2 linked regions of the Lonchura striata genome follow. The protein of the gene in region 1 purifies or fractionates together with the protein of each later gene. This does not show direct contact. Links are inferred from orthologs where the notes say so. Each region holds a gene or a part of one and is shown on either strand. Other genes may lie near its edges.

Region 1 (15,292 bases):
TCTGCTTACAGTCACTTTCATGAAACTATTGTGAGCTAGAGCATTTTTTGTAAGTTAATGGGATCCCTCTGAAAGGATTAAACCACATTGATTATTAATTATTTTTGATGTTTTAAACTGATGTAAACGTCCAGAAGCTCTGAAGAACAACATCCTGTAGAAATCAATGCCAAATTTAAAAAAAGAAAAATTAACAAATAACAAAAAACAAAACCACTCTGCTCAGCTCCTGGGGGAAACAATTGTGACTTCTGTTTGGAAGGTATACCAGCCCTTGGAGAATACCAGCAACTGGCATATATGATAACCACTTCTAAGTTATCTAGGGCATCCTTATTTTGATGTGTCTATCTTCCAGACTCCAGGCAGAGTCTGCAGGTATTTTGCATACAGAACAAAGCTAGGCACAGTAGTGCTAAGCAAATAATAAATAAATTCATTTCATTGCTCTGGGAAAATGATCATTTTTTCCTTAAATCTGCCTTGCAGTACTTTAGGAAAACACTAATTAGCATTCTTTCCATGTGTTTTTTCTTTTTCTCCCCAATTCTCTCTAATGTTCTTCACCACTTGTAATAGATGTTGGGGTTTTGAGTGTGTGGGTTTTTCCAGTGTCTTGTTGGCTTTTTCCCCCTTTCTCAAATTTAATATTTCTTTGCTGTTTGTAAGTGGAATGGAGCCATTCCTTTTCATTTAATAGATCAGTGAGGAGTGAAGATTTGCCATGTTCAAAGGACTTCCATATGAGCAAATAGGAAATGATCCAGAATAGCTGTGGTGCAGATAAAAGACAGAAAGCAAATTACACAAAGGGAACAAGTCTGCCTGCTTTGGGGGCTCCTCTCAGCATTGAAGAACAGCCCCTCCATGGCTGATTCTAGGGGATGTGACAAGGAAATTATTGAAAGCCCTTAAACTTGAAGGAGTTGCTGATCAGATTGACAAATTAATGATTGGGACCTACCACTCTTACTCCAAAGACTTGGCCTTCCTGTGATATAGCTGGAAATCAACACCGCTAACCTGAAGACCTGCAGGTTTATAGCACACAAAGGAGCTGCAATTGTTCAAACCCTTCTGACAAGACAAGAAGGCTCTTGTCTCATCAACCAAGAAAAGTGCTGAGGCCAAATCACTTCAAAATCACAACTGTGTAGATTGACAGGCAACCTTATCTGTTTTTACAGAGAACTTAGCAAGGAATTTAGGATTTTTATCCCCTAAGAGGTTCATATCTACAAACAGCTACCTCATATTAAATCTCTGGGCTGAAATAGAATAATATCTCAGAGTTGTTTATTTCCATTATCTCTGTTCAGCTCCTCTGAACTGCTCAATGCTTGTGCTTAAATACCATGCTCACATTTTGCCACCCCCAATATTATGTTACCTGTTCAAATATCTCACATATTTTCTTCTCATGTCCATGCTATCACCTCAAGACCAGCATACTTAAGCTTAAAACTTCTGCTAACTCTCTTCCCTGGTGCTGTCAGCTATGACACCAACTTTTCTATCACCCACACTTACTGTAAAGCATTTCTTCCCTAAATACCTGCATTCATCAAGAAGGGAGACTGCAGAGCTTGCCACACTCATTCCATCACAGCCCTGATACAAAGTGCTATCTTTATGGCAAGCCAGACACCATGCATATAATTTTATTTCTGGAACTCCCTCTAAAAGCCACCGTAATTTCCCAGCACAAGAATAAGGGGGTTCCAGAAATGCAATGCATCATGTTTGGCTTGCTGTAAAGATGGCAAACTCCTTCCCTAGGAATTGCTCCCTTCACTGGCTGCCATTCATTTGAGATTGCAGAGTGCTGAGAAAAGCAAGGTAACCTTTCTGTTTCCAGTATTTCCCATTCTCTATTCATCTGTTATACTCCATATGTGGCAGCTAGCATATGCTGCCACATTTATCTCAAAGTTTTTCCCCTTTTCAATTCTACATCGACAGAAATTTAGTAAGGAAAAAACCCAGGAAGTTACAACTCTTATGTGAAACATCTAATAAACCAGTCTCTTAATTTATATTACTGCACTTGTAGGTACTCAAGTCTGTGTAAAGATTTTAATTTCAGAATATTCTTAATATTTATTAAAGTTGTTTTTTTCTTCACGTTGCAAACAACTAAGTTTTGCCTCAAGAAGAGAATCTTTAAAACCCTGAGTAAAAAAAAATGGAATCACTAATTTACTAGAAGACTGCTCAGGATGACAATGCATACTTCTCCAATGAAAAAGGCAAATAATTTTAAAGAACACTTAGAATCAAAGTTAGCTATGAATCTTTTAAGTTCTTCAGCAAAGATACCTGCTTCCAAAGGTTTATTTTTTGACATTTATTGTCCTGACTCATATGCCTAAGTAAAAAAAATGCTCCCTTCCCTAGAGCTGAGACTGTCTGGTAAAATAAGTCTCAAAATGGATTTACACAAGGCTCTGTTCAGTTTAGCATACAATCTGAAGCTCTGTAAGGTCATTTCATGATCTGCCTGGATTGCTCTGTGTGGTGACAGCAGAAATGTAGAGATTAGTGGGATTCTCAAGTTCAGTCAGCACTTCCCAGGAGCCCTTTAATGAATTGCCATGGATCACCACAGGTAAGCCTGTTCTCAGCACAGCCCATCTCAGCCTGGATGAGGGATCACCCTTGACTGCAGCTTCTGACCCAGGTGATACAACCTAGAAATTGCCTTACTGACCCTGTGCAATCTGAGTCTGGGGCTCATAACTCCTGCAGACATGAAAGATCTTTTCTCAATGGTCCACTGTCATTTCATCACAAGGAAGTCTGCCAAAGGGTAATGGAAGACTCTTATTTCACTGGCAGAGAGGGGTTTGTAAGTGCCTGCTGCAGTTCCGTAAACATGACTTGGCACAAGCATCCTCTTCTTTGGCTTTGCCCTCCAGAATGACCCTGATCTAGATATTATCCATGAAAATGAAGATATAAGAGACAACATGATTTGTAGTAGTTTTGAGCTGAGGGTGACTGTTTGTAATTAGTTTTTTAAAAAAGAAAAGTATTTGCTTTTCCTGAGAGGATGCTTTTCTCTCCCATACAGGCTGGACAGTCCCAGAGCAGTGGTAGGAAGAAAAGACTTTTACCTCTGGGCCTGTCCCATCATGAGGATCCCTTACATTTGTTTTGCAAACAAAAATGAGCTGGAAGTGTAGGTTTGGGTCTTTCTTTATTTTATTTTGACACTAGCAGAACATGACCATGAGGAAAGAAGACAAACTTGTCTCAACCAGAGCTTCAGCTGCCATCTCTTGGAGAGAGAAGAGATGCCAAAAGGATTCCATAACAAAATTCAAATTATGTGTTCATTGCTTTTCCCAGCAGGAGGAAACAGCAGTGACACACACTGGGGCTCTCAGCTGTGAAATCAGCCTCCCTCTTAAAAAGGTTTTTCCTGCAGAAAAAGGCAGCACCCTAATGGTAAGGCTTTTACTTCAGATTATTAATTGAAAATGTATATATACCTGAAAAGTACACCAGTAGAAACAGATTTCCTTTGCTGGGTAAGGTTGAGTAAAGTCTTACAGAATCTCAGCCTCTTTGAATATATTGGCCCGTGTAAAAATGAGTTGAGAGTTCACTATGAACTACAAAAACTGATGCAGTATTGGACAAAATTCTACCCTGATAGACACAAGACGTTGTCCTTCCTAAGAGAAAGAAAGAGGGTGGTGCTGATTTAAATGAAGAGCATATGATATACAAAGACCTCAATCTCCTGGAAATAAGAGATGCATTATTTTACTTATAGAAAATTTTTCTGAAGAGTGTCATGACTGCTACTTAGCCCAGACATGGAAGCAATGTGACAACCAGTTTTCTCATTATTTTCCTACTGAGAGGCTTTCTTAGAACAACTTGGAGGTGGAACAGCTTGTAAACCATGTCCCAGCACCAGGTTTGGCTTGTTCAAGATGCTTTTGTTTTCTAATTAAGCTTTACCGTCTACCCCAGAAATAATTCAACAAAGCAACCTTAAAGCTCCCAGGTGCAAGCCACCAACAATGTGGGATATCTGACACATCAGGGACATGATCCAGAGCAGAACTTCAGCTGGCCAGAGCTCAGTGCAGTTATGACTAAGGGAAGGTTTCTAGGTTGCAGTTAGAAAATATGAGAAACTTACATCAGTCACTGGAATGAGGGAATGTGTCTACTTTTTATTCTTATTTATTTAGCTGAAGTACAGCTTTTCCTTTGGGCTGTGCTCAGCCCTGCCTTTGCCATGCCAAAATGAGATGATTACAGAGCAAGTTGCTGAAGACTCTGCCTTCCAGCCATTCTGACTGAAACAAACTAACAGAGAACACAGACCCACTGCAAAATGGCAATATTTTAAGAGATTCCTACAGCAGCAAGGTTGGAGTCTTCTCTGAAGCAAAACCCACAGCCCTGCTCCTCTTCCAAGTACTGTGAATCCATCCTGGTGTCTGAGCTTGCACACAATGCCTTTCTTCTGCTAATTTCTAAATTAGCCATCACATAAAAAAAAATGCTAAAGAATGAGAATGGTAAAGGTTTAAGATCACATTGTGGTATTTCCAAAATTAACACTATGCTCCTACCCTGGGGCACAGAAAGCATCCACATCACGCTGTTAAAGAAGGAACTAAACCTTACTAGCCCATGGGCAACTGAATCAGGCACATGGCATGCAGTGGGCAATGTTCCTGTTTGATCTCCTCTTGTCACTGACCCAGCAGCCTCAGAGAGTATAAGGAGTTGGAATAAACTGGCACTATTACTTCACACCATGAAATATTGAAAATTGGAAGACAAGAGAAGAGAGGAGAAAATGTGCTTTGAGCAGCTTTATCACTTTGCAAAGTCTGCTGATGATTTTACAAGTTGCCAGATGGGCATCAAGGCCACATCAAGCAGATTCAGCTTAGCAAGTGACATTTGGGCTGCTAACACTGAAACAGCAAGCACACAGACATCAGTTTTGCCTGTCTTCGGATTCATCAGATCAATGCCACTGCTTTCTCAATGAGATTAACTTCCAGGTGAAGCACCAATTTAATAAATCAAGTCTGGTTAATCTTAATATTGTTTCAACAGGTTGGTAGAACTAAACAGAACAAAACTGGGGAAAAGCCTTGTTTTGAAATGAGTTCTTTTTAATTATATGTCACTGAAAATAATTACACAGATTTTGAAGAATATTCAGTGAATTTCAGGCTCAGGAAAATGGTCCTCTTGTGGTGATCTAAAACAAACACTGTTTTTACTTCTCCAATTTCTCTCCTGTAACCAGATTTACTTTGACTATCACTCCAAATCTCATTTCTTTTACTGTAGTGTTCAATACCAATACAAAGATAACTAATTACAGTGGCCTTACTATCCAATGAAAGTCATAATCCAGTCATACAGGGAGATACTGATGCACCTCTATCTGAAGATGCAGCTTAACCTTCTCTCACTCTACAAAATTCTGCTAATGCTCATCAGCTTTCTTTGTCCTCCCAGTCCCAGGTTTACTCAGCTGGGGAATGATGGTTATTTCCCAACAAAATGACAACCTGGGCCCTTGGCTACCTTCATACCTTATCCAGTTACTTCAGATTTACTATTCATTTAATACAGATTTAAATTACCTATTTTCTGTCACGCTTTACCACAACAATGATAGTAAAAAAAAAAAAAAAAAAAAAAAAAACAGTACGTAAACACCTTAACTTAAAAAAAAAACAAACAAAAAAACCACAACCCGCTAGGACATAGAATAATGTACATTCCCTGATTGTGGGATAAACCAGCTACTTAAAACTGTGTGCACTTGTATGTTTATGAAAAAACTATAAACTTTCTCTTTCTACTGGGCCATAGCATACTTTTTTTTTTTTAAATGACCACAGTCCATGGAAAAAATTTTGTCTGTCTATTAGCATTTTATCTTGCATAAATGTATGTTTCAGCAGTTATGAAAATGAGACTGTTATCAGTTGATTACTCTATGTGAACAAATGCTGTGAAAGCTTCCCTTAAATAGTTCTGTCAATGCAATGTCAATTTTAGAAGCAACACCACTGCTGTTCCAGGACATGATCCTGCAAACTCTTACTCACATAGGGAGTCCTGATGATTTCCATAGAACATTTACATTTATAAGGCTCTGAAAGGTCAGGTCCTTAGTCGCAGAGCTCTGCTTAACAGTGACTGACAAATATACAACAAAGTTTTTAGCAGTGCTGAGCGCTGTTCTTTAGGGCAATGACATTTACACCCAGCAGTATTCACTTGGGCAGCACATACATTTTCTTTTAGAAGTTACACGAAGCATATTAAATACACCTAAGAAACCATGACATGAGCTAAAGCGTAAAGATGAGAAACGCCATGTGAAACGCCATATGAAACCAAGCTTGCGGTATGAGGCAGAACTTTGAAAAATGAATCCGCCGAGAAGACAGGCTGAGCTCGAAACACAGAACTGCTCAGCTGTGCCACGATAAACCCAGCACCATCCAGCATCCTCCCCTTTGTTAGCGGCATCTCCATCAGCGGGGTCCGCCGGGATGAAGGTGCGAGCGCTCGGAGGGAGCGGCCGGGCACGGGCGGTGCTGAAGGACAGCGCAGCGCTCCCCAAAACGCCGCTCGCCCTCCCCGGCACCGGCAGCGGGCAGAGGGCTCGGTGCCGCTCCCCGGGGCTGCCGCCGCTTTCGGCGGGATGCGGGAGGCAGAGGCGGCGCATCCCGCCCCGGGCTGCTCCCGCGGGGCACAAAGCGGAGCGGGCACACAAAGGCGGCGCGGAGGATGCTCGGGGCCCGCGGGAGGGGGTGCGTAGCCCTCCCCTTCCCTGGCACTTACCTTCAGCAACACAAAGAGCCAGAGGAGACAAGAGCGGGCCCCCGGGGCCCCCCGCCGGCGGCGGTCGGGCATCGGGGAGGACGGCGGCGGCCTCGGCCTGCGGGGGTGGCTGGGCAGGGGCGCCTGCTGCTCCTGTGCCCCCGGGACCCCCGGCTCTGCCCCCCGCCTCCCTCCGCTCGGCTCCGAGCCGTGCCCGGCAATGGCGAATTGCGGCAGCATCAGGCGGCCGGCAGCGGCGCCGGCCTCCCCTCGGAGCGGCGCATCCTGCTGCCCCCCGCCCCTTTTATTTGGGGTTTGCGGCGGGGAGAGGACGGGAGGAGGAGGAGGAGGAGGAGGAGGAGGAGGAGGAGGAGGAGGAGAAGGAAGAGGAGGCGACGGCGGGTGCTGTCTCCCCTCCCAGGAGTTTGGGCGATCGGGAGTGGCAGCAGCCCCCGGCGGAAGGCGAGGGCTGGGAGGTGGGAGATGGAGCCGGGAGCCGCCCTCGGGCCCGCACCGCCCTGCCCCCGGACCCCTTTGTCACAGCAGCTGCTCCCCGCTGGGAGGAAGCACAAAAAGCCATCCTGACCGCCGCTCACCCACCAGCCCTTCCCCAGCTACTGCTTTCCTGCCGCGATCGGGGCACAGAGATGCCGCCAGCATCCGCGGGTGTCTGGTGGGGCAGGGCAAGGAGCGGCCGGAGCGGCACTGGGAGGAGGCTGCAGGAGCTACAGCTGCAGGAGCTAGTACCCACAAAGTCCCTGTGGCTGTGCTCGTCTGGACAGCTCTTCAAATGTTCAAGGTACAGGGCTGAACCTGCAAGGGATGGAGACTGGAGACCTCATTCTGTCCCACAAGATACTCGGGGATACCAGGGATGCGAGGGGTACTGAGAGAACTCAGGTCACCTCCCCTGTTCTGTCTTCCCCCCACATCCCACCCAGCGAGCCTGCAGATTAATCAAAGCCATCTCCAAACACTCTTAGCAAGAGTCTTGCTTAAGATGATTTTCTCTGAGAAAAAAAAAACAAAAACAAACAAACAAAAAAAAAAAACCAAAAAAAAAAAAACCACACTTTGAGGAGCCAAAACAAAATCCCAAAGGACTTAAAGACCTTCCCCATTCAACCACCACGATGAAAACAGTCTTTCCAAAGTGAGAAACTGTGGGAACTCAAAATGTCTCTCAGACATTTTTAGAGGTTCCAGGCCTTGGTCAGAGGCATTCTAGACCCTGGCAGACAGCTGAAAAACAGCTGTGATTTTGAGTCATGGAATGAGTTACCAACTTTGGAGGTGGAACAAGCAGTCACAAAAGGTTAGATAGTATAGTAAAAGTAATTACAAAGTAGAGGGGAAATTTTTTTAGTATTGTACAGGGGGCTTTTAGCACATGTACAAGGGGGTTTTTACTTTGTACATGGGGGTCAGAAGTTCTAAGATGGAGGAAAGTGGGCTGATCCTGTTCTTCCTCCTTCTTCTTCCTTACCTCCATGTTCTTGGTGATGTTGGCACTCACAGATTGGTTTAGAGTAGAAAAGCACTTTGTAATATAGATAGTAGGTATTGGGGGAAAACTATAAACATGTAATACGTAATATATCATATAAAAGATAGCAGCAGCCCTGGGTGGGGAGAGAGAAGAAGAAGACAGCAGATAGAGAGGATGTCAGGGTGTGTGTGTGTGCCTCTGCCCAGGCCGCTGACCAAACAGCCACAGCCCAATAACATAATCTGTTAGATAACTAGCAATAAATCATCTTGAGACGGAACAACAAGAGACTGCGGAGTTTTTCTTTGGAAGCACAGGTTGGAGGAGGAATTTCACCACCATATGAGACCCCAGAGCAAGGCTGGGGTTCTCACAAGAAACTACCTCAGAATCCCTTTTGTCACAAACCACACTCTCACTCACACCAGTATAAATTAGGATGTATCTTTGGTAACACTACCAGAGCTATAACAAAAACAAAATATAATTGCCAGTGTAATAAACAGCTGTGTCTGTTCAGAGCAACTTTGGGTCTAGGTGTACTGCCATTACTTAGAGTAATGGGTCACTCACTCTTCCTTCAAAAAATAAAGTAGTGGCTAAAAGTAGATCCTGGGATGGTTTTCAGATTTTCTAAATCATTTAGGCAAGATGAACTCTATCACAGTCTCATGGGAACGTCCTTTAAATCAAACAATTACAAAGCTTTTTTCTAACAGCACTGCTAAATTGGACAATAATGAATCTGTGTTTCAGAGACCTGCCCAGCTTATACATGGCATATTTTTGATTTTCTTATAATTTGGACACTCAGTCAACAAAAGCTTGATTTCAAAGTGGCCAAAGCCAGAGAGGGATGTGCTGAAATGGGCCCTTGAGCAAAGATTTGCAATACTTGATGGGGATTAATCCAGAAAGCGAAAGAGAAATACGGGTCCTGTGTAGACATTGGCACAAAGCCTAAATATAGAAATCCAAAAGGCAAATGTTATCCACATGTTCATTTATAAGAAGCTGTGGGCATTAAAGATGTACTCAATGCTATCAGTGAAGGACACAGACTTCTCTTGGGTATTCACTACTCTGTTAGTGTTTGAGGCATTATCTGAAACTGGTATACAAGGGGTTAATCATAGCTAAATTTCCTTCAGTATTCATGTTTAGGATGAAGAGAGGTTATCTGAAAGACAAAGATGTGAATTTCTTTAGGAAACCAAAATTTTGCCAGTATTTGAAAGCTGCAGATGGAACTTTAGGCTGGGAACCTCTTGTTTATTAAGTAAATTGAACTTAAATTATTTTTGTCCTTAGGACTGTATTTTATGCTTCTTTCTTCTCCAGTATTTACAAACATTTAGACATTAAAATGATGATGGCATAAGCAAGGCTAAAGATCAAAGATATTTAAAAGGAAAAACAAAAAGTAGAAAATTCTAGTAGCATTTTAGCCTCAGGACAACACTATTGGAATCAAAGAGAGTGAAAAATAGCTAAAAGAACTGAGAAACATTTCTGCAATGAAACCTTCAATAAAGTAGCAAGATAATAAAGTTTTCTGATCTGGCTGTTGAAGCTGAGGAAAATGCAGCCAAGAGAACTCAAGGATTGCATCCTCTTTAAGTTATGGGGGTATAAGATTACTCAACTTTTTCAAAAAGGGACAGTGCTTTGGAAGATTCCAGTTTGTAAATAGAACCTAATTCTTCAGGAAAAAAATACAGAGCAGAGGGAAAAATAAGATCTATAAAAACAGAGTCGCCCTTATTTGTTTTTAGAATCTAAACAATAAAAGCAGCCAGTCTATTAATACACCAACAAAGCTTTAAAAATGGAGACAATGAGATAACTTTTTTGTACTCAGGGAAGAAGAAACAGGATAATTTGTGAAGTTAGTAAAAGATACTGATGCTCTTTAACCCTCTCCATGGGCCCAGGGGGAAAGGAAGTGTTCAGCAGGATACCTCACCAACTGGAATTTCATTTATTTGGATGAAAAACACACAAGCATTTGACAAAAATTTTAAAAATAAAAATAAATCAGGAAAGATGGGGAACATTTGTTCTGGCGTCAAACATGTTTTTTTCTGAATCAGATATTGGGATTTTGGTGATTTGAACTAAATTCCCCCCCCCCCTCCCCCCCTTCCCCTTTTCTTTACATTTCAGAAACCTGAAGAAACCCTTCTTGTCAGAAGGGTTCTGACCCTTCTACCTTCAGGGAAGAAGCTGGAACACATTCCCAGTTACTAAGGCAGCCCTGTACAAGTGAAAGCCCTGACCTTTGCACTTGTGCAGCTCCTGCAATGCAGAGCAGCTCGCTGGCCACAGAGTCCTTCAGTCCATGTCAGACTTCCCTTCACTCACATAAATCTGACACTTGTGGAGCTCTGCCACCTTTCCCCAGAACTCATCAAACATCCTTTGGGGCATTGCAAACTATCCACAAGGATTATGGAAGCCCAACTCCTCCACTACAGCATGGATTCATAACAGGACCATGTTGCGTTACAAACATCTCTCATTTTTCCTTCGGGATCTCTTCCAATTGAAAGACATCCTAATTTTTCTTGGTCTGTGACAAACTCTGGGCTGCAGTGGGCACCTGTCAGAGCAGCCTTAAGGGACTTTGGTTCTCTCTGAATGCAGCTGGCAGAATCACAGTGAAGCAGAGAACTTAGAGCCTGATTGAGAGGTGCATAATGTGGTGTTTTGATACAGGGTCCTGTCTCTACTCACTAGATTTACTGGAAAAGCTGGGCAGGAATTATTTATTCTGATGATGATTATAATTATTGTTTATTCTGATGTGCAGTATGCAGGAACATGATAAAGTATTTCAAGGCATTACAGGACACAGCCCTAGAAGGCAAAAATGGTTTAAAGAAAATCCTCTCACATTTTGAGAGGAGGACTCCACATCAAACACACAGTTTCAAAAACTTCTCAGGTCACTCATCACCCCCTTGAAGGCTGTATTAGTTACAGTGCTAGAGCTTTACCTTTATTTAATAGCCTGATTAATTAAAACACTGGTGTTTGCTTTAATCAGCTATTTAATGCATCATCCTAACTAAACCAGTGTTAATTACCATATACCACCCTAGATTATCAAAGAAAAACAGGAATCAAATGTTTCATGGTTTCAAATGTTTGCATGAATGTTCCTGCTGGTACCTTACACAGATTTGATTTAAGATTTATGGCAAATTCTTCCCTTTTCATCCCTGAAAACCCCAGAGCAATATTCTGTCAGATATACCAACTTTGCCTAGCCTACAGAAAAAAAAAAGCTGTAAATTAGCCTTTACTCCTAGTTGTAGTATAAACCCAGAATTATATGAAGGTTTACAGGCCTCCGCAAGTCTGGATAAGCATGACATGAAAAGAGGTTTATAAAAAAACTCACTCTAAGTAAAAGTCATCCTGGTCCAAGAAGTTTTGGAAGCAAAGTTATTCTTCAGTGACAAATGTCCTACGAAAATAAAGTGCAGATCCTTTTTAAATGTCTTCTCACCTAAAGTCATTTCATTTCAATGACAGCAGTGGATAAAACAATAACAAAAACAAGTGCAAAGGGTGGCTAGAATAATGTACATGGGTTGGCACTTATATGTTCAAGTGCAAATTTATCTTAGATTTCAGTTTGATAAGTATGGGCCCTGTGACTTCTAAAAGTGTGCCCCCCTAACAAACAAGCTGTCAGTTTTTTTAAAAATCTGTCTTTTCCTAACAAGAATGATTGACACACTTCAGATGTGCAACCTGATCAACTTCCAGACACTTATTAGTCTTTCAGTGCAGGAGAAGCAGTCAAAAGGTCATTTTCATTTTTAAAGCAGTCACAAATCTGTCTTTGACATTGAATCTCTTCCTCATAAATAAGCATATGAAAGATTTTTGACTGATGTTTCATTCCTTTAGCACTGAAATGGGGTATGGAAAGGCACTGAGTTGGTTTTTGTGGTTTTGTGTTGTTTTTTTTTTTTTCCAGAAGGGAAGGAATAAGCATACCCACAAGGCTGATGAGATTATTTAACATTTAAACAGTGTATTTCACTTTCATTTATCTGTCCCAGGGTATCTGGATGCTACAGGATGCCTGAGAAACAGATTGAGTTCTGTGAACATAATTCTAGATAAAAATTATTCATATATTTATTTTTCTAGTGAGATATTAAGTATTTGACCAGACCTGTCTGTTATCAAAATGTCCCTTTTACTCTTATAGTTCTCTCTCCAGTGTCAGCAGATATGGCTGATAGAAATAAAAATAAACCACACTGCAATTTCTAATTCTTCTTATTTTGTATTGCATCCACAGTGTTTTCTTCCACTTGCTTCTCCATTTTTGTCAATGATCTAAGCAGGCCAAAGACTGGGGAAAGAGGCTGGTTAGGAATTTCTCACTGTCTTCAGCAACTTATAAAGCTATGTAAGTAGAAAAAAAGTGTGACAAAAAGTGAAAAAAAATTATTTTCTTTCTGTTTAAGATGGGTAAATCTTTCTGGGGGTCATTTCTCAGTAATTCCACTGTACTTTCCATTGCAGAACCATACAGGCTTTTTATTAAAAAAAAATAAAATAAATAAAAGGGGCTCCAGTCAGTCACAGCCTTTTAGCACCTTTCACCTCTGAAATATACTGACTTCCTGTGACCCTCACAGGCTCTATTGATTCACAGAAATCTGAGTCATAGTTACAGGAAACAACATTTCTCTCCCAAGAAATTTGCAGTAGGAGCTGAAATTTTGCACAGATAACATCCTTTTCTTCCCTGGCATCTGTGCTGAATTTTTTTTCTCTCTCCATGGCATGGGGGTACTATATCCCAACATAAATATGTAATATAAATATGCATGCCTTACACCAGTGCCTTTTCACTGCCATTTCCCAAATGGCATCACTAAGCAGCCTTTTCACTTCAGATATGTTTTTATAGTATCAGAAGACCCCAGCTGATCAATCAGGCAACAAGACCTGACTAAAGCAATCAGTCACACCGTTTGATTAATTGTGCCAATTACTGGCCACTCAGAGTAAACAATTTTGAAAGCAACTCCGTGTGGAAAGGGGGCCTGCAGCTATGTGAGAATGGGGAAAATGGCTTGAAATCGTAAATGTATTCAGAAAAAAATCCCATTTCATTCACTAACAATTTACTTCCTAGGGGGTGGATTTCGTTCAAAGGAGAGAGAGAAAAGAGAAGATTCAGCAAATGTATTTTTGGCACAGTCAGGTATTCTAATCACCAAAGAAAGTGGGTTGGCAGGATTTAAGAGAATTTTACCTATTATACAGAAATAGCAAGAAAATCTGTAGATTTACCAGCTAAGGCAAAAATGTTTATTATTTAACTTCAATCTTTATCATTTCAAAATCTCAGGGGTCAAAAAGACTGTTAAACACAAAGAACAGAATGATGCATGATTATTTTTTTCATTTTTGCCTTCCTGTACATTATATGTGGGCTCATTCCAGACCACTTGAAAGACAGCCAAGAGTAGGTAGGGGAAAAAAAATTTTTTTTTCAAACTTAAGTGTTAGGACATCTCCATAAAATTCCCTCTCAATTTTTAGACCCACTACACAGCTATTCGCACAATGTTAATTAAATATAGCCCACTTTCCTTTTCAATTGTCATCTTTCACAGACTACCCAGTTTACATAAATTAGCACACTAATATGTCAAATACATCAATTATGAGCTAACACACTCTCACACTAATAGGATTTGCATGTTTTACTTCAGCAGACATAGGACACCTTGTTTTTTTTGGAAAACAATCTAATATATTTGGGCAGCCAACTGTGTCTTCTAACATGACTTTCATCTCCAGGAATGATCCTTCACAGCCCACAGAGAAAAAGCTAGGTGTGAAAATATGCCAGGACCATGGTTTGCTCTGCCTACCCTGATGCCTTGAACAAGCCCTTAAATGAGAAGAAAGCCAGCAGAGCTGAGCAAGGCAGCCAGGTAGCTGTGCTGTCAGGGGAAGTTAGCAAAAGCTGACCCTGAGCTGTCTTCAGTTCCTGTGTCCTAAAGGAAACCATCTGATGCCCTAAGTTTACTACAAGGCTGAAAGGATTTGACAAGGAAAAACTCCCACTGGTTCTGAAGAGAACCCAAAGTTTGAGCTGACAAAGACTAACTAACGTTGTCTTCTGCTCTGACCCTCATGGTCCTTACAGGCTGGCATTGAATTCTACTGGAAGAGCATGGGGAAATCCTGTACTTCAGAGGCACTTCAGAGCCTTGAGACTATCAGTCTACAAGGTAGGGGTGGCAAAAAAAAAAAAAAGATTAGAAAATCCCTCACTGCTAGCAGTGTGCAAAAGAATGCCCACATTAGCTTAGCCAAGGTTATCAAACCCATGACCAATATGGGGTTCACTTTCTTCTGCTTCCAGACAACCCACAAATCTCAAAGTGCCAAATGAACTAAATTGCTATGAAATTAGAGCCACACAAAACTACACGCAACGATGAAACCCCGAACAATCTTCATTTCCATGGCGCTTTTGTCATAATTAAAAATATTCATAGAGCTTTACAAAGCATGAAATTACCTTGGCATTTCCATATCATAGAGTAGAACCTTGGCATTAGCTCAGGATGAAACCCTGGAACACATCAAACAGGCATCCACAGAGCTGTTCAAACGCCTGCCCAGCACTTGCAAAGTGCTTGGAGTGGAATGGAAAATTGTGAATGTGATTGGGAACTGGGAATGGGAAACTGGGAATGGAGATGGGAATGGGGATGAGAATGGGGAACTGCGAATGCAAACAGAATGCTTTTGGACAAGACAGCTCTGACATTGTCTGTCAGCTCAGGAAAGCTGCACAAAGCAGGAGGTAGATCAATAGCATAGAACACATCAGAATGACATTATGGGGACTTGGAGAGAGGTAATGTGTTTCCAAGCATAATAGCTTCAGCTGCAGTAATTAAATGTGAAGCTTTGCTCAGGCTGCTGGAT
Region 2 (14,883 bases), on another chromosome or scaffold:
AGAACCAAGCACAGTGAAGAGGAAAACACTTCCTTAGCTTCAAATATTCCTGTTTAACTTATTTTCTTGCTTCTTTAAAAAGCTAAATGATACAACCACAAGTGCTGTCTTGTAACCCCAAACACATGAATTCCTGAAAGGCAGCTGATGAAACAGCCACGTTATGAAGCAATTAATTATCAAAGATAATTGATTGGTGGCCCAGGATTGGATTACAGGAGATGTTTTTAAAGATAAAATTGCAAAACCAAAAGGGCACAGATGCAAACTCAAAACTAGGAAAGAGGGGCAATAGCATTAGACACCCTACAAACACAAATCTCTGATAGGCTCTCTGACAGTTCTCAGCTGCCAGCAGGGAATTTGGCAAAGAGCTAGCAAGGATGCCAAGGGAGTCAGACACCAGCAGGATGCTGCTGCTGAAGAAGACACTGCTACAGTTCAGCCTTTGTCTAGGCCAGGTGTGAAATGTGGTGCATCTGCAGTGCCAGCTACTGCTTCAGTGCTGGGGAAGGCAGGCAGAAGACAAGAGAAGATATAGCAAAACTAACAGGCTTAGAAATACTGCTGAGTGAGAGTCATTGTTACAGGCTTGCTTTGTATTTTTTTCCTCTTTAAAATGATATGATAATTTAACCTAATAAGAACAGATATACCCAATTAGTATTCCTAAACACAATAAATTAAATTATGATTATACCATTTAAATATAATCACTGGTTTATATTTAGCCTCAAGATTCAGAATGAAGAATCAGTAAGCAACACAGCCCTTCCAGAACACTGGAAGAACTAAACCCAGGTTTCATTCATCCTGACTAAAAAGTCAAAATGTGTGGCAAGTGTTCATATGCAGGGCAGTTGTACAGAGCTTTAAAGAATTTCCAGAAACAGAGTAAAAATGTCTGTAGGCACACACCTCCAAAATTAACATATCTAAGAAACTCTGTCATTTCATATTGAACTAGATATAGATATATGTGTAAAATGCACTATTGACAGATTTCAAAGACTGACTAGCAACTATTCCCGCTGAGAACAATTACAAATACAGAGCCTTCTAATTCATTCCCCAAAAGCCTTTCTGGTTTCTTAAAGGAGGAGTACAAAGTAACATTGGTGCAGCTTTTCAGAGTTCTTGTAGTAAAAAAAGTGAGAAACAGGTAAGCAACTGTCAGTTATTTGAAAGAATTATTTCCTGCTAGCATCAGAAGTCAAAACCGATAGGTTTCATTTAACTTTTCAAGGTTAAATACATTTTATACCGCCTATCAAAATTCTCTGTATCACTTTAAAATAAAGAAAAATAAATAAAACAGAATTCCCAATTTTTATAGCTACATTTCATGTTTTACCCTAGAGCCCCAAGAGCTTTAGGCAGATAATAAATTCATATGGAAAACAAACACCACCATACAGCAATACAGAAACAGATTCTCCAAGTGTCTAATCCTTACTCATGGGGGCAAGACTAAAAGTTGAATTATGAGCAGACAAAGTAAATAAAAATACCTGATTCACACTCTGAAATCTCAGTGCTTGCACATGACCACAAGCCATCATTTTTCACAGCTATAATTATTGTACTTGCTACATTAACATGACTTTTGTAGCCAGAATTCAGCATGCTAGGAGTACCAGTAGTTCTTGGAGTACTGTATTACATCTTTCCAAAGTAACATGTATTTCAACCAGCCTTATTTGAGAGTCCTTCAGGCAACCACTTACAGTGATAAAAATTGGGGAAAATATCCCAACTAAACAAAATGCCCCCAACTATTGTGACATATTCCCAAGCGAAATATAAGGGCTAAGTCACTTATGCACTTTGGTCAGAATCAGAAGTGGAAGAAACAGTACACAGGGATATTGTTGAACATGTCTTTAAATAAGGCATTCAAGGGTATATTTGTGTGTGGCAGCTTGGTTTAGGAACAAAAGGTGCAAATATTTTTCAGAACAGAACATAATAAACTAAGCAATAAAGGCTAAAAGTTTTTTCACACCCTCACCAAATGAATTTGGTTCAAATCCAGAACAGAAAGTCAAAGGTCCAGTGAAATCCCACTCAAGCATAATAAATAAGACTGAAAACCACCTTTGCCAAGGACAGAAACATCCAGGCACATACAATCATTGGGTGGGGATTTTACCTGGCACACAGACCAAGATGAGCCCCACAGCTCTACCCCTTCTCAGCCAGTTTAGTATTCCACAGGTGCACAAACACTAAGCCCATATGGTGTAGGCACAAAGCCTTTTAGCTCTTAGTGAACTTAGAGAACTCATTGCCAAAACTATTTCTTCCTCCTGTCAAGTGCCATCACATTTTTTGTGCTTATGTGTAGACCGTTCAAAAGAAAAGCTCTCCTTAAAAAGGGAAAATCTTGTTTATGCAGGTTTGGTTTGTTTTTAAATAATTATCCTTTTATAACTATAACCTCAATACCAATTAGTCAGGAGTATCAGTGAACCTGAAATATTAATCACCGGAAAGTTTACTTCTAATACAAAACAGCAAAAGCCAGTCTATTTAATCTCCAAAATGCCTGCAATCCTTACATTGCCTTGCAATCCCAAATACATACATGCAAGTAAAATTACTAAAAAAATGTTCTTACCTTTTCCTTTGAAGAAAAATAGCAAGGTACACCAGAAATGCTGTCACAGAAGTTCCTTGTTCCATAGGGCTTGGACAGATCTTCCCTAGCAGGATATCCTTAAATAAAGCCTGGAGCCAGCCTGGGCTGGACTCCTGCATGAAGTGCACAGAGCAGCCCGGTGGATTTGTAAAGCTGAACTCAAGTGCCTACTGCACCCTCTCAACATAACACCAACACTGCAGCTCCTGACTGGAGCTGTAAGAGCAGCAAATCAGTTTCCTGCTTCTTTGACTGATTGACTAATGAGCACAGTAATCAGTAAACTATTTACACATGGAAACAAGAACACCTGAATGTTCTGACTTTTCTCGCTCATTCAGTGAGCTTTTCAATTTGATACAGAATCACAAATACATGGTATTTTGAATTTTAATCAATATTTCCAGTAACACTGTGTAAAAAATGCGAAGAATTAATTTATTTTCAGAGAGGAACACAGAAATTCTTAACTTGTTCAGTGAAGATTCCTTGCTAACACTCCAGTGCATACCACTCTGTCAGAAATCCATGACCAAACCATTGTCTCAGATTTTTTTTGCTCTTCTGGATTCACACATAAAAAAGCCCACATAGGTGTATGCCTCACTATTTATTCACTTGGATTGTCATATTGATCTTGTAGAGTGACACAGAAGCCAAATTTAACCGTTCCTTTACACCATAAGAAACTCTGTAGAATTCTAATATTAATTAAGCAAGCAGCAGTTTTCTGCACCTGTTCATAGAGCAGAGCAGCCTTACCAATGGACAATCAGCTGTACCATCACTACTAGAACAACTGAATTTCTTGGACAAAGTACAACTATTAAAATTTTGTCTTCTTACTCCAACATACACTATATTTTCAAGTCTTCTAATACAATACAGAATTAAACTCTCGTAAGACATTGGATGCAATTTTCAAATGGATACTTTTTTAACTCAAAGACTGAATAGCTGAGTAAGTCATTCAAAAAACACCATATTTCAGAACAATTGTTCCATTTCTACTCAATCCATCTCCTCATCAATAACATTCTTTCACTAGGATGTAGAAATCAGTTTCTAAATATTTAATTACAGCTGGAAAAAGATTACAAAATACAAAGATTTATTGTACTTGAGACTAGAGAAAAGTATTACTTTCATTTTTTCATTTTCTTTGAATTCGAGAAAAAGTAACAAGCAAACAAATGACAACAAAACCTAACAGATGTATGAACTAGTTTCACCAATAAAGCTTGGAAATTCAGAAAGGACTTCACCAAATAAATGTCAGTGGCTGAACCTGGCAGAAGCCATTCCCCACAGAAGTGCTGCATTCCTAGAATGAACTAATGCCCTTCAGTAACACAGAAAATCAGTTACTTAGGCAAGGCAGGACTTAGAAGAAACCAAGGATTAGCATCTCCAAACATTGGAGTCAAACGAAGCATTTTGGATCCCGTGTCAATTCAGAGCTCATCATGTTTTGCAGGGTCCAGACTGGGTTTGATGAAGACTCCCTCCATGGCTTTCCAATAGTTGTGGTGGTTGGCAGCAGGCATGCCATGAACTTCCCGCTGGCCTCTAATGGGGTGGCCGTACTGCTCCCCCGTGATGGACAGGAACACCTCAGTCCCCACGTGCTTGAAGCGCACGGCATCCTCCCGCTCCCAGTAAGTCCCACTGCACTGCACAATCCAGAAATCCAGGTCATCTCCTTCGCCATCATCCCCAAAGGCACTTACTTCCTGTTAGAGACACAAGCTTCCTGAAGTGAAAGTGTAAGCAAACACCTCCAGGACACACAGACATCAACCACAGACTCAGCAGAGATCAAAGACAAGGATGGGGAAAGAAATGCTGTTGTTTTGCTTTGTCAACAATTACCTAAGCCAGAAGCAGTAAGGTTCTACCAGACAATCTGAACACAAAGTGCCAACAAACTCCAACCTGTTCTCTGAGCAAAAAGTACTGGAAAAACTCTAAATAAATCAAAACCCCACAATGACAGTTGAATATTCTTACCTTAATGACAAGATACAAAGTGTCTACACTGAAAAATGAAACCCAGACGAAGGTTTCAGAGTAAAATTTCCCTTAAAGAATTCTTTTGAAATGTTATTTTTCCATCACTTTTAATCATCAGATTATCAAGATACCCTACACAGAGCTGAACCTTATTGCTTCAGCCACTTTACTCATGGTGGAAGAAAAATTATTCCACAAAGAGTCACATCGTCCAAGTTTCAATGTAACAACCTATCTACACAGCCTGATGGAAGACTGACATGACTAATAACAAAAATCTTCCAACAACTGCATTATTTACAATAGATCTTCCATCCTGGAGAGGTATTTGTTCTGGGGCTGAATTATGGTTAGAAATTACACTCTTTTAGATAGGTACAAAACTGTATTTAAGTATGATTACAAGAGCAGTTCAGTTTTCCTGTGGAAGGAGGACAGAAAAATACGAACAGTGTAACGAAATAGAGATAGCAAGAAGACAAATGAGATTAACAGACTGGATCACCAAGGAACATGGACATAGGAATGCCTAATGTTATAACACATGACTAGTTGCCTGGCTCTAGAGCAATCTTCACAATGTTGAGAGAGGTACTCAATCACCTGCATCTAAAAAACATCCGACATTTCAGAACAGCCTTCCCAGCAGCAACAGTGCAGAAAAAGAAAAAAAAGCAGATTTGTTAAAAGTACTGTGAAATACCAATGCTGGCACATACTGTACTGCCTCTGTCAAGAACTGAAATACATCATTTTAAGATGCAGAAAAACCTATACTTGAATCTGGATATGCACAGACATACTGCTGCTGGTAGCTGGTACTCAAGTCTGAGTCTCCAAAAACCCAAGTAACTGGAGAGACTATTGTCAATAGCATGCACTACTTGTACAAAAGCTTAAGATTTAAACCAACTCACTTGGTTATTGGAGAGTGGTGATGGGAAGTGATGAGTGTGCAGATTTTTCCCAGTGTTAACGTGGGTAAGTCGTATGGCTTGCCCACATTTCACAGGTGTCCCACGCTGGCAACTGTTGTCACTCTTCCCACGGATCCGCCAGTAGCTGTTGGCATCATCTGAAGCTTCAACTCCTGTCACTGACTGCTGCCCACTTCCTGTTTGAATAGAATTAAATGACACAAGACTTATCCCGCCTCCCCAGTTCAAAAAGACACGAGAAAACTACAGAAGTTTGCTTCAATGTTGTCATGCCTTCATGTTTACGAGTGCTTAATTCTCACAGTCCATTTACTGACTGCAAAAGGAACGCAGGTACCAAATCATCTTTCAGATGGATGCAGTGAAACACAGCATGTGTTAGCAGATGCAAACTGTCAAAGTTCATGGTGAACGCAAGAAAAAAATCCTATCCATGACAGGTACTATTCACACCATCCCACCTTTATCAAAAATACTATCAAGGTCTTCATGTTCCCCAACAGACCAGCACCCTCGTTGTCAGAACAGACACTGGAAGGTACTGCTGAAGGCCTTGACACTGAGCAGGGGACGAGGGCAAAGCAGCCCTGTCACATCCCGACTCCAGGGCCCAGAAAGCAGCTGACACATCTTCCTATCCCACAGGCCTCAGCATCCCTCTGTCTCTGTCGTGTCTCCAGCCCAGCCCTAAACCCCAACCGCGGCCTGCCACTTCCCTCTGCACCAAGGATATCAACCTCGGGAAAACCCAACTTCCTCCACCTTCCCCACAACCCTCACTGCCTGCCCACCCCCGCCATTTCCCTGTCAGGCACCACCTGTCCCCCCCGCTTCCTCGGCCCCTCACAGCCCGTGCCCCGCCATTTTCCAGCTCCGCGGCCAGGCCCTGCTCACCGGAGCCGTACTTGACCTCGTGCGAGTGGAGCCGTACGCTGTGGCGGGTGTTGAGCAGCTTCAGCACCGAGCCGCAAGTCACGGCGCCCGGCGCCGGCTCCCTGCCATGGCACAGCCCGGGCAGCAGCGCCAGGAGCAGCAGCGCCAGGAGCAGCAGCGGGAAGAGGCGGCGGCCACCCCGCATCGCGGCGCACCCGGCCGGCCCCGCCGGCCCCTCAGCCCCGCCGCCACCGCCGCCCTCAGAGCGGCGCTTCCGCTCCCCCGCGCGGGCCCAGCGACCGCCCTGCCCACCGCCGCGCTCAGCCAATCCCCGCCCGCCGCCCGCCCCGCCGCGCGCTCTCATTGGGCTATAGCGAACCGGCAAGGCGGGAACTAGCCAATCAGAGAGCGCGGCGTGGCGCCCCCCCCCCTCCCTCCCTCGGGTGAGGACGCGAAGGAGAACTGCGGGCGCTGCTCCCTCACGGGGCTGTGCTGAGCCTTCGGCCCCGGGCCCCGAGCGGCGCCACCCCCGGCGAGGTGCCAGCCCCGGCGAGGTGCCACCCCCGGCGAGGCGCCACCCCCGGCGAGGTGCCACCCCCGGCGAGGTGTCACCCCCGGAGAGGCGCCACCCCCGGAGAGGTGCCACCCCCGGAGAGGTGCCAGCCCCGGCGAGGTGCCACCCCCGGCGAGGTGTCACCCCCGGCGAGGTGCCACCCCCGGCGAGGTGCCACCCCCGGAGAGGTGTCACCCACGGAGAGGTGTCACCCACGGAGAGGTGTCGCCTCCGGCGAGGTGTCACCCCCGTAGAGGTGTCACCCACGGAGAGGTGTCACCCACGGAGAGGTGTCGCCTCCGGCTGCTGGGCACCCCCGGGACAGCGCTGGCACCACTCTGCAGTTTGCCCTTGCTGAGAACGTAGGAGGAGAGGCCAGGTCTGTCACTGCCACTGTCTGTCACTCGTCTAACGTGGTCTGGGCTGTATGAAAAATTACAGCCAGGTCAGGCTGAGGGGTTGTTAAAGGGCCTAGACGGAAAAGGCGCTGTGGGTAGGACCGTTCAGTTATTATCAGAGGAAGGACAAATGTCCTCACAGCGAGAGCAGTGTCAGAGACAGACCGGCTCAGAGTCACAGCCAGGTACGGGCAGTGTTTAGATCCAGCCTCGGGGAGCCGCAGTTGCACTGTCAGGTCAATCAGCCCCTGCTGTTCCATTCAGGCCACTTCTAGCTCAGAGCTGGCAGGCGGCACATTTAGGTCTGCTCCTCCCTGCAGTTCTGCCTCTTAGAATGGAGTAAATATCTAGCCGTTTGGGGGATTTACAGAGAAAAGTAACACAGTGTTGGAAAACAAAGGGAATTCATGTTTGTGAAGTGACTTGGACGATAATGCATTGCAGCTCCAGTAATTTCTGGATTATATTAGAGCTTCTAATTATAGGACATAATATAGTTTCTAATTATAGGGCATAAACACTACACAAAGAAGAACTAGCAATGGTTGCTGTTACATTAAGCTGTAGCAATAACATAACATCTTTGCTTTTGCATCCCAGAATTCACCTTCTGTGCTTCAATCTCTTGCAAAATTCTTATAACTAAGAAATTATTAAGCTCTATTCTGCAGAAAAAACCTGCATAAATTAACATACATACTGTCCTTTATTGCATAGTTTTGCAAACTGAAGAAATACCCCCCAAAAAAACCTCAATAAGAGGTGGCCATTGACAAAGGACACTTGAACTCCTACACAGTTCTTTTACCTCTGAAACTGCTCAGTGGTTTGACCCGTGTACCACATCCCAGCCTTGCGTGAGTCCCATGCAAAACTGTGAGTAATTCAAAGGAATTCAAAAAAGCAAAAGATTTTGATCTTAGTGACAAGGAAACAGGTAGAAGGGCTCCCACCTCGTGACTTACATCTTTGTAATAATGGCATTTTGTCCTTGCAACAGCAAAAAACTAAAACACTGGACTTGATATTACAAGATGATTTAGAAAGCACATTAGTGTTGCTGGGTAGTGCAAACATCATAAGATGCTCAGCTGACTCTCTCTTCCACAAGTGTTAAAGCTGCAAGGTTTTTTCCTGCCCATGTGATACCACTCAATCAAATGGTTAGTTTTTTGTGCTGGCTTTGGCCTGTTTTCCATAGATATACCTACATTTGAGAAAAATCTCTGACTTAGATGCCAGGCCAGCATTACAACAAGCCCAAGTCTTAAACACAGGTCACATATATGCGTATGCACACACAGAGTGTGCTTTCCTCAGGACTTAAAACTCAATTCCTAGTGCTGGAGGTATAAAGCTTTACTCACAGAGAAGCAAAAACTCCCCCACTGATAGTCAAATACCATATTTTTACATCATTCTAAGCAGCCTTACTGTTCTAAGAGAACAACAATCAGTTTCCTGATGTCAGTTTGCAGGAGATGCTTGGCACTGCCAGGGCAGCCCTGATCCTGGGCGGTGGCAGGTTGGGTCTGGGAGCCATCCTGAGCCATTTGGAATTTTGGGAGGGGCAGCCCACTCGGGGTCACAGGCGCCTGGGTGGGGTGCAGGCCCCTGGACACGAATGCTGGCCCTTTTCTGTGGGAAACAAAACTCTCCACCCCAGTTTTGCTTCTGTTTTTATAACTGGGGCAAAACCAGATGTCTGTGGTTGCCATTTTAGCCGTGGAAAATCAATCATATGGGGCTTTAGCTGGCACCTGTCTGTCTTTATGGGAGGTCGCTCAGTCTCAGTGCATTTAGTGCCGTTTACATGGTGCTCCCTACAATGCTTTTCAGTCCCACTTTAGACACATAATTGGGTTAGAACGGTTGCCAACAAAGAACCCATCAATGCCTAACACCCACGGCAATTAACAACCATCTCATTGCCACAGGGCCCTCTATTGTTTCTGGTGGATTGTTGTAAACTCCCGGTAAAATTGCGTCAGGAATTATATGGCTTCACCTTGGTAATGGGGACATCAGCTTTTTTTTGGTAGGAATCTCTTTATGATTCTTGTAAATGTACAGAAACAAAGTAATTCAACAGTGCTGTAAAAGGGGAGGATGTAAAATGTAACCACATCTGTAGCCTTCATCTACTCAAAACACACACGCGCACACACACACCTGCCCCATCCTTATGCATTTTGGAAACTCCTACCATTTCCACTTAGGTGCAGCTGTAGGTTTAACCTGGCCCTCCCTGAGAAAATGATTGAGCAGTGCCAAATGCTTTTAACATGCAGGAATTAAAAATCTGTGGTACAAGAAAATTTCAGAGGGTGTATGCTTACCCAAAGCAACAGATTATAGAAAAATGATATAGTTTTTATATTAGCCTATGTTTAAGATTCTTTAAACTTTCTGTTTGCATGACTGGAGCAGTTATTGACAACTAAGGTAGCAGAGCTGATAACTCCTGGGCATGGTCTATATCCCAAAACACACTGGTGCATCTTTTGGTATAGACAGCCCTTGATTTATGGAGATTATGCAGCAAAACCTGGGCTCTTTCCCAGACCAACACAAACCTTAGGCAAAACAGACAGGGACAGTTCTGAAACCATTAGTACCTGATACAGAAACAAGCCCACATGAGCTCTTGCATTGACTTTTCTCTGCATCTGGTCCCTTCTCTGATGTCAATTAAGGTGAACTGTACTGACCTCAACAGAGTAGCTGAAGACAATAAGGTCTGCAAAGATTGCGTGCTTTTCTTCTGTCTCCTTCTTTCACTTCACATTGTGGAACAGCTGGTTATAAACCTCACTTCAGATGAAACATTTGTCTCTACTGCCATGCCTTACAACAGAGCTCTTCCAACTGTGACCCCTAAGCCTCATACAAACAGTGAACAGGAGTAATAATGATAAAATATGTCACCCAGGGAGAAATCCAAGTGATAAAAAATTTATAGAATTCCATTTTCTTATCACTGAGCCTAAATTGCTTAAGGATTAGATAATCAAAATAATTTACTCAGATTTTTGCATTCAGTAGATATAAACATAATGTAAGAATAAGCAGAGTAAGTAAAAAAGCAGAAGACATTTGACAAAAAGAGTATTAACATACACATACTTTTGTATTTAAATTGAAGATTTTTTCATCTGGGGGAGAAGAGTTGATTAATTGCTGTCTTCTATTTCTGGTCTTTGAGGTAGAGAGGATTGGGAAGTTCTGCAGAGTCCTGGTGATCTGTGTCTGTCACTGTCACCATCTCTCAGCCACTCTCCTGCCTGATGCTGATCCTTCAAGAGCAAGGGATCTCCCCTCAGAACCCCAGAGGAATTAATCTGCATTTCTATTTGATCAACTGAGATTTTTCACATGTTTTCAGTGGTGCTGGGAGGCAACAACACTCACTGTAAGTGATCTGCCAGATAAACTTTCCTGTGTAGTTACACTGTTGAGGTGTTACCAATGTTCGCATTAATTCTTTTCCCCTTAACATAAGGACCTGCCTCTGGTATCTTTGTTTTAATGACTCCTGATCAACATTTGCAATAATCAGGTTCAGGCCTAACTCTGCTTTTGTTTAGACAGTGTAAGTTGAAGCTGAGGAAGTTATTTAGAACTTGTAGGCATGGATTGGAATTGTTGTTTTGATGATTAGCTTCTATTTTAGAATAAAAATGTAAAAATGCCATGTACGTTACATCAGGCAGCTTTTAAAATAATTTAGTTCTTCATGGGATGCTAAATTTCCCAAGCCCTTTCCTAACTTCCTCCCTTCCAAGTTGTGAATCCTCCCTATCCCTACCCCTTTCTCCAGAGAGTTGTGTCTGTCTTGTTGCCCTCGACACCCCGTTTGTTACTTTGTATTATTCCCTCCCCATTTTCCCTGATAGTCTCGCAAGCTATTTACCCCACCTTACACTCCTCCTTTACCTTATCCTCATTAGTTCACTTTCCTACATCCCTACTCCTGAGCTGCTGTATAAAAACTTCTGTTCACCCCCCTCGGCCCCAGTCTTGTCTGGGAGCCCAGGAATAATAAATCCATCTTGTTCCACCCCAAGAGCCGTGCCATCGCTGTGTGTCGCTGCCGGAGCTGCCGATAACTGGGATTGCAGCACTCGCAGGGCACAGCCGCGCCCCCGCCGCAGCCACCCAGCACGCCTCACGCTGCAACAATGGGATTGGAAAAACCTCTAGACATCTGTTTCAGTGGCAGGTAAATATTAATGTAATTCTGAAAATTCCGCAGAACACCTATGCATCTTTTATAATAACTTTCAGAGATGTCAAACTGAATTCCTGATGCAATCAAACAGTTCATGGAATCAGATAGTCTAGGTTTAGTTATTAATGTACACAGTTAAACTGTACCTATTTTGGACCCAACATTTAATTGCCTAGGAGAAATATTCCCCACCTCAACTCTTTTTTGACCAGGTCTCTTTGTATATTTTAATAGACCTCGACATCAGGCAAAGAGGTATCTGGAAAAGGAATGTGCAGGCTTAACATCATCTCAACCCCAGTCAGAAATCACAGATGCTGTAGTTTAGTTCATATTCAATTTTTTTTTTTTTTACCACACATTAGACATGGAAGGAAATGCAGCAGAGAGAAAATAACCCTCTGAAAAAAGGGAGAGTGGATTAAACTTCACCATCCATGAGCCACAGTGTCACCAAGGACCAGAGGCCTGCTAGATGCATCAGGAGGGATTTGAGTTTGGTGTTTTTACCAGTCCTCCATAATTTAATGCCGAGTGTCAAGTTAATAAGAAGGTCACAATGGCAAATTTTGCCTTTCAGGCACTTTGCAAGGACCACACACCTTGCCAGGCATTATTTTGTGCTGGTATAAATTCAGGTATTTCAGACATGGGTGAAGGAAGGTGACAGGTACTGCCTGGCTGTGTCACATGGTAACCAGGGAAGACTTTCGCTCTTAGCAGAGTGAAATCCCCCAGAGTTTGGGGGTTTCAACCCTTTCTAGTGCAGATGGAGGAAGCTGTTCCATGGATGAAAAACTGTAGATTAAGCATTTCTATAGAAGCCACTGAATTTCAAAGATTTACAAAACCTCTGAGGCTGGGACAGAGAACAAAATGTTTCCATCTTTTCATTTTAAAAATGGATTTTATTTTGTCTAATTTCAATGCCTTTTACAGTTTACACTTTCAACAAAATTTCATTCAAGGAAAAGACAAACAAAATCCTACTGTGCTACCATTGTAATCCCACATGAACTAACTAACTGCAGCCAAGGGAACAAGAAAAAGAAAACACATTTTTTATGTCAACATGTAAACAGACGCCTTTTTGGAAGCAGTAATTGTTGGAAAAACCTTTGTGAAATACAGAAAACCTCAACATTTCTACTGATTAACTCAAAGTTCAGGGAAAAGAAATTCAAGCTCAAAAGCAGTGAAGCACTTGAGGATGGTGAAGGCTCCTGCTGGCTTTTGTAGCTGAGGTAGGGCTGTGTTTTGTTTTAGTTAAGCTGGAAGATGCAGCTTCTCCTTAGTCCATGTCCTGGCTTATGCAGCTCCACCAGAAATCCTGGCCAATGTGCTTGTCTTCACTGCAGAGGAAAGACTGTCCAGAGGAAGTCTGCTTTGTCTTTCAGCTCCAGGTTGAATTTTTAAGGGCCTTTCACCTCTGGGCTCTGTGAGGCTCAGCTGCTAGGGTGATCCTGGCAGCCAGCTGTGAGTGCAGGGGGCAGAGGGAGCACTGCTGCTAAAGGGATGTGGCACAGGGGCAAGGTTCGCTTGCTGGGGAGTATTTGCTTCCAGTGGCAGAAAGGACGGCTGGATAAACAGGTATGAAATCAGAAAAGAAAAGCTTCCAGGAAGTGCATTAAATATTTAAGAAGGATGTTACCGTTAATAGCATTAAATGCATACTAAGGTTAAGAAGGCTGAGAAGCCAAGCTTTGTCTAAGATTCTTATGTTGTGCCTCTCACCTGTGCAGAGTCAGGGAGCACTGGCAGTTCTAGAAAGAGGCAAAAAACCCCAGAGTTTGCATTGGCAAAGAGAAGAGGTGCTTATTTTATGATTCATGACATTACTTCAGAATTGTGCTGACTTGAGCTGTTACAGTAACAGCACTCATCAGTAAGTGAAGCCTCTTGGGGAATGTGGGCAGGCTGTGACGTTCATCTCCCAGAAGGGGAAGCAAGTAGCAGGTGCACAAATATCTCCTCTGAAATGCCAAGGGCACTAGAAATCTTTACAGAACATCAAAAAGTTTTCTGTAACAGAGCCACACAACTATCAAATGACAGAAAAGCTCACAGGAATTGCCTGAATGAAGATTTAGCAAGTTGTCTACAGCATTTTAGCATGATGGGTTTTGAATTTCATTTCATATATTTTTTTTTCTAAGAGAAAATGTCACTGAAGAGGCAGAAGGCTGTCTTCCAGCTCTCACAATAATTTTCAGTAGTCATTGCTCATTTACATGAGCAGGGAAGAACAAGAAACAAAAAGAAAGTGACAACAGGTGTCCCCCTCTTGATGCAGCAGAAGTTTCCCATGCTCCCAGTGCTGCCCATTTTGGACCCTATAGGGAGAGCACAGCCTAGGAACCAAATTCTACCATGAACAATATTGCTACCACTCATTCTGATTTTATTCTTTCTCCTTCAAATTATCAAAATAAACTTAAATATTGTCATCCAAAACTTATCATCTGCCCCTCAAATTGCCCTCAGAGTAATGGAAACAAAGTTTTGTAGCAGTTTGCTACGTGGACTGGAATTGATGAGAGCCTACAGATCAACAGGACTGCAACCTACCTCAACTCAGTGATTCCAAATTCCTTGTAGGGAGACAGACCTGGAAAACCACTACTCCCACAGATGTTCATTCCCCCACACAGATGTTTCAAAGTTCAGGTGTGAAAAGGGTGCAATTTCCTCTGCTGAAGTGTGCTTCTGTCTCCAAACTGATGGTCCTTGCTTTGCTGAAGACAGTCAGTCTCTGGCTGTGCCTACAAGTCATGTCCTTGACTTTGGGGCATGGGCATGCTGGCTGTCTTTTAGGAATTGAACTCTGCTGAAAAATGAGACACCTGTAGGCACTGGTTTCTTTATACACAAATTAAGCAGCAGGATTGTCAGTCCATTCCCACAGAAACGACCCTTAAACCCTTTTCCAACCCATTTCACTCCAGCTGCTCTTCCAAGAAGCCAGTGCTTGGCTTGTCAGCTGTTTCTGCACTTACCTCCATGCTGGCACAGGTTCAGAGGTGGAAATCACCATCATCCATGGAAGAGTCCTAGTCCCAGTGTGATCCCTGCTTCCTGGAACAAGTTACAGCAAACACCAAGACAGCTACCCTGGATCCATGGACATGTTACCATGGCACTTTCTGAGCTGCCATTCTCCCTACCTCAAACATGAGTTTGTTGTTTTGGGATAACACTACAGACCAAGAAAGGGGTCATTCTGCTTTGATAGAACT

What was found.
Region 2: the proteins of PTPRO (region 1) and SDF2L1 purify together in Homo sapiens (affinity purification with mass spectrometry; 3 studies listed by BioGRID and IntAct, with this or other methods). This does not show direct contact. The link is inferred for Lonchura striata from reciprocal best matches to the Homo sapiens genes PTPRO and SDF2L1.

Annotation. Positions count from the first base shown.
Region 1 is NC_134607.1:9,818,879-9,834,170, forward strand, and holds the start of PTPRO (receptor-type tyrosine-protein phosphatase O), read right to left. Parts: upstream 7,098-15,292; 5' UTR 7,063-7,097; coding exon 6,844-7,062; intron 1-6,843.
Region 2 is NC_134620.1:7,198,532-7,213,414, reverse strand, and holds SDF2L1 (stromal cell-derived factor 2-like protein 1), read right to left. Parts: upstream 6,714-14,883; 5' UTR 6,671-6,713; coding exon 6,487-6,670; intron 5,769-6,486; coding exon 5,572-5,768; intron 4,599-5,571; exon of another isoform or gene 4,375-4,598; coding exon 4,096-4,374; 3' UTR 3,014-4,095; downstream 1-3,013.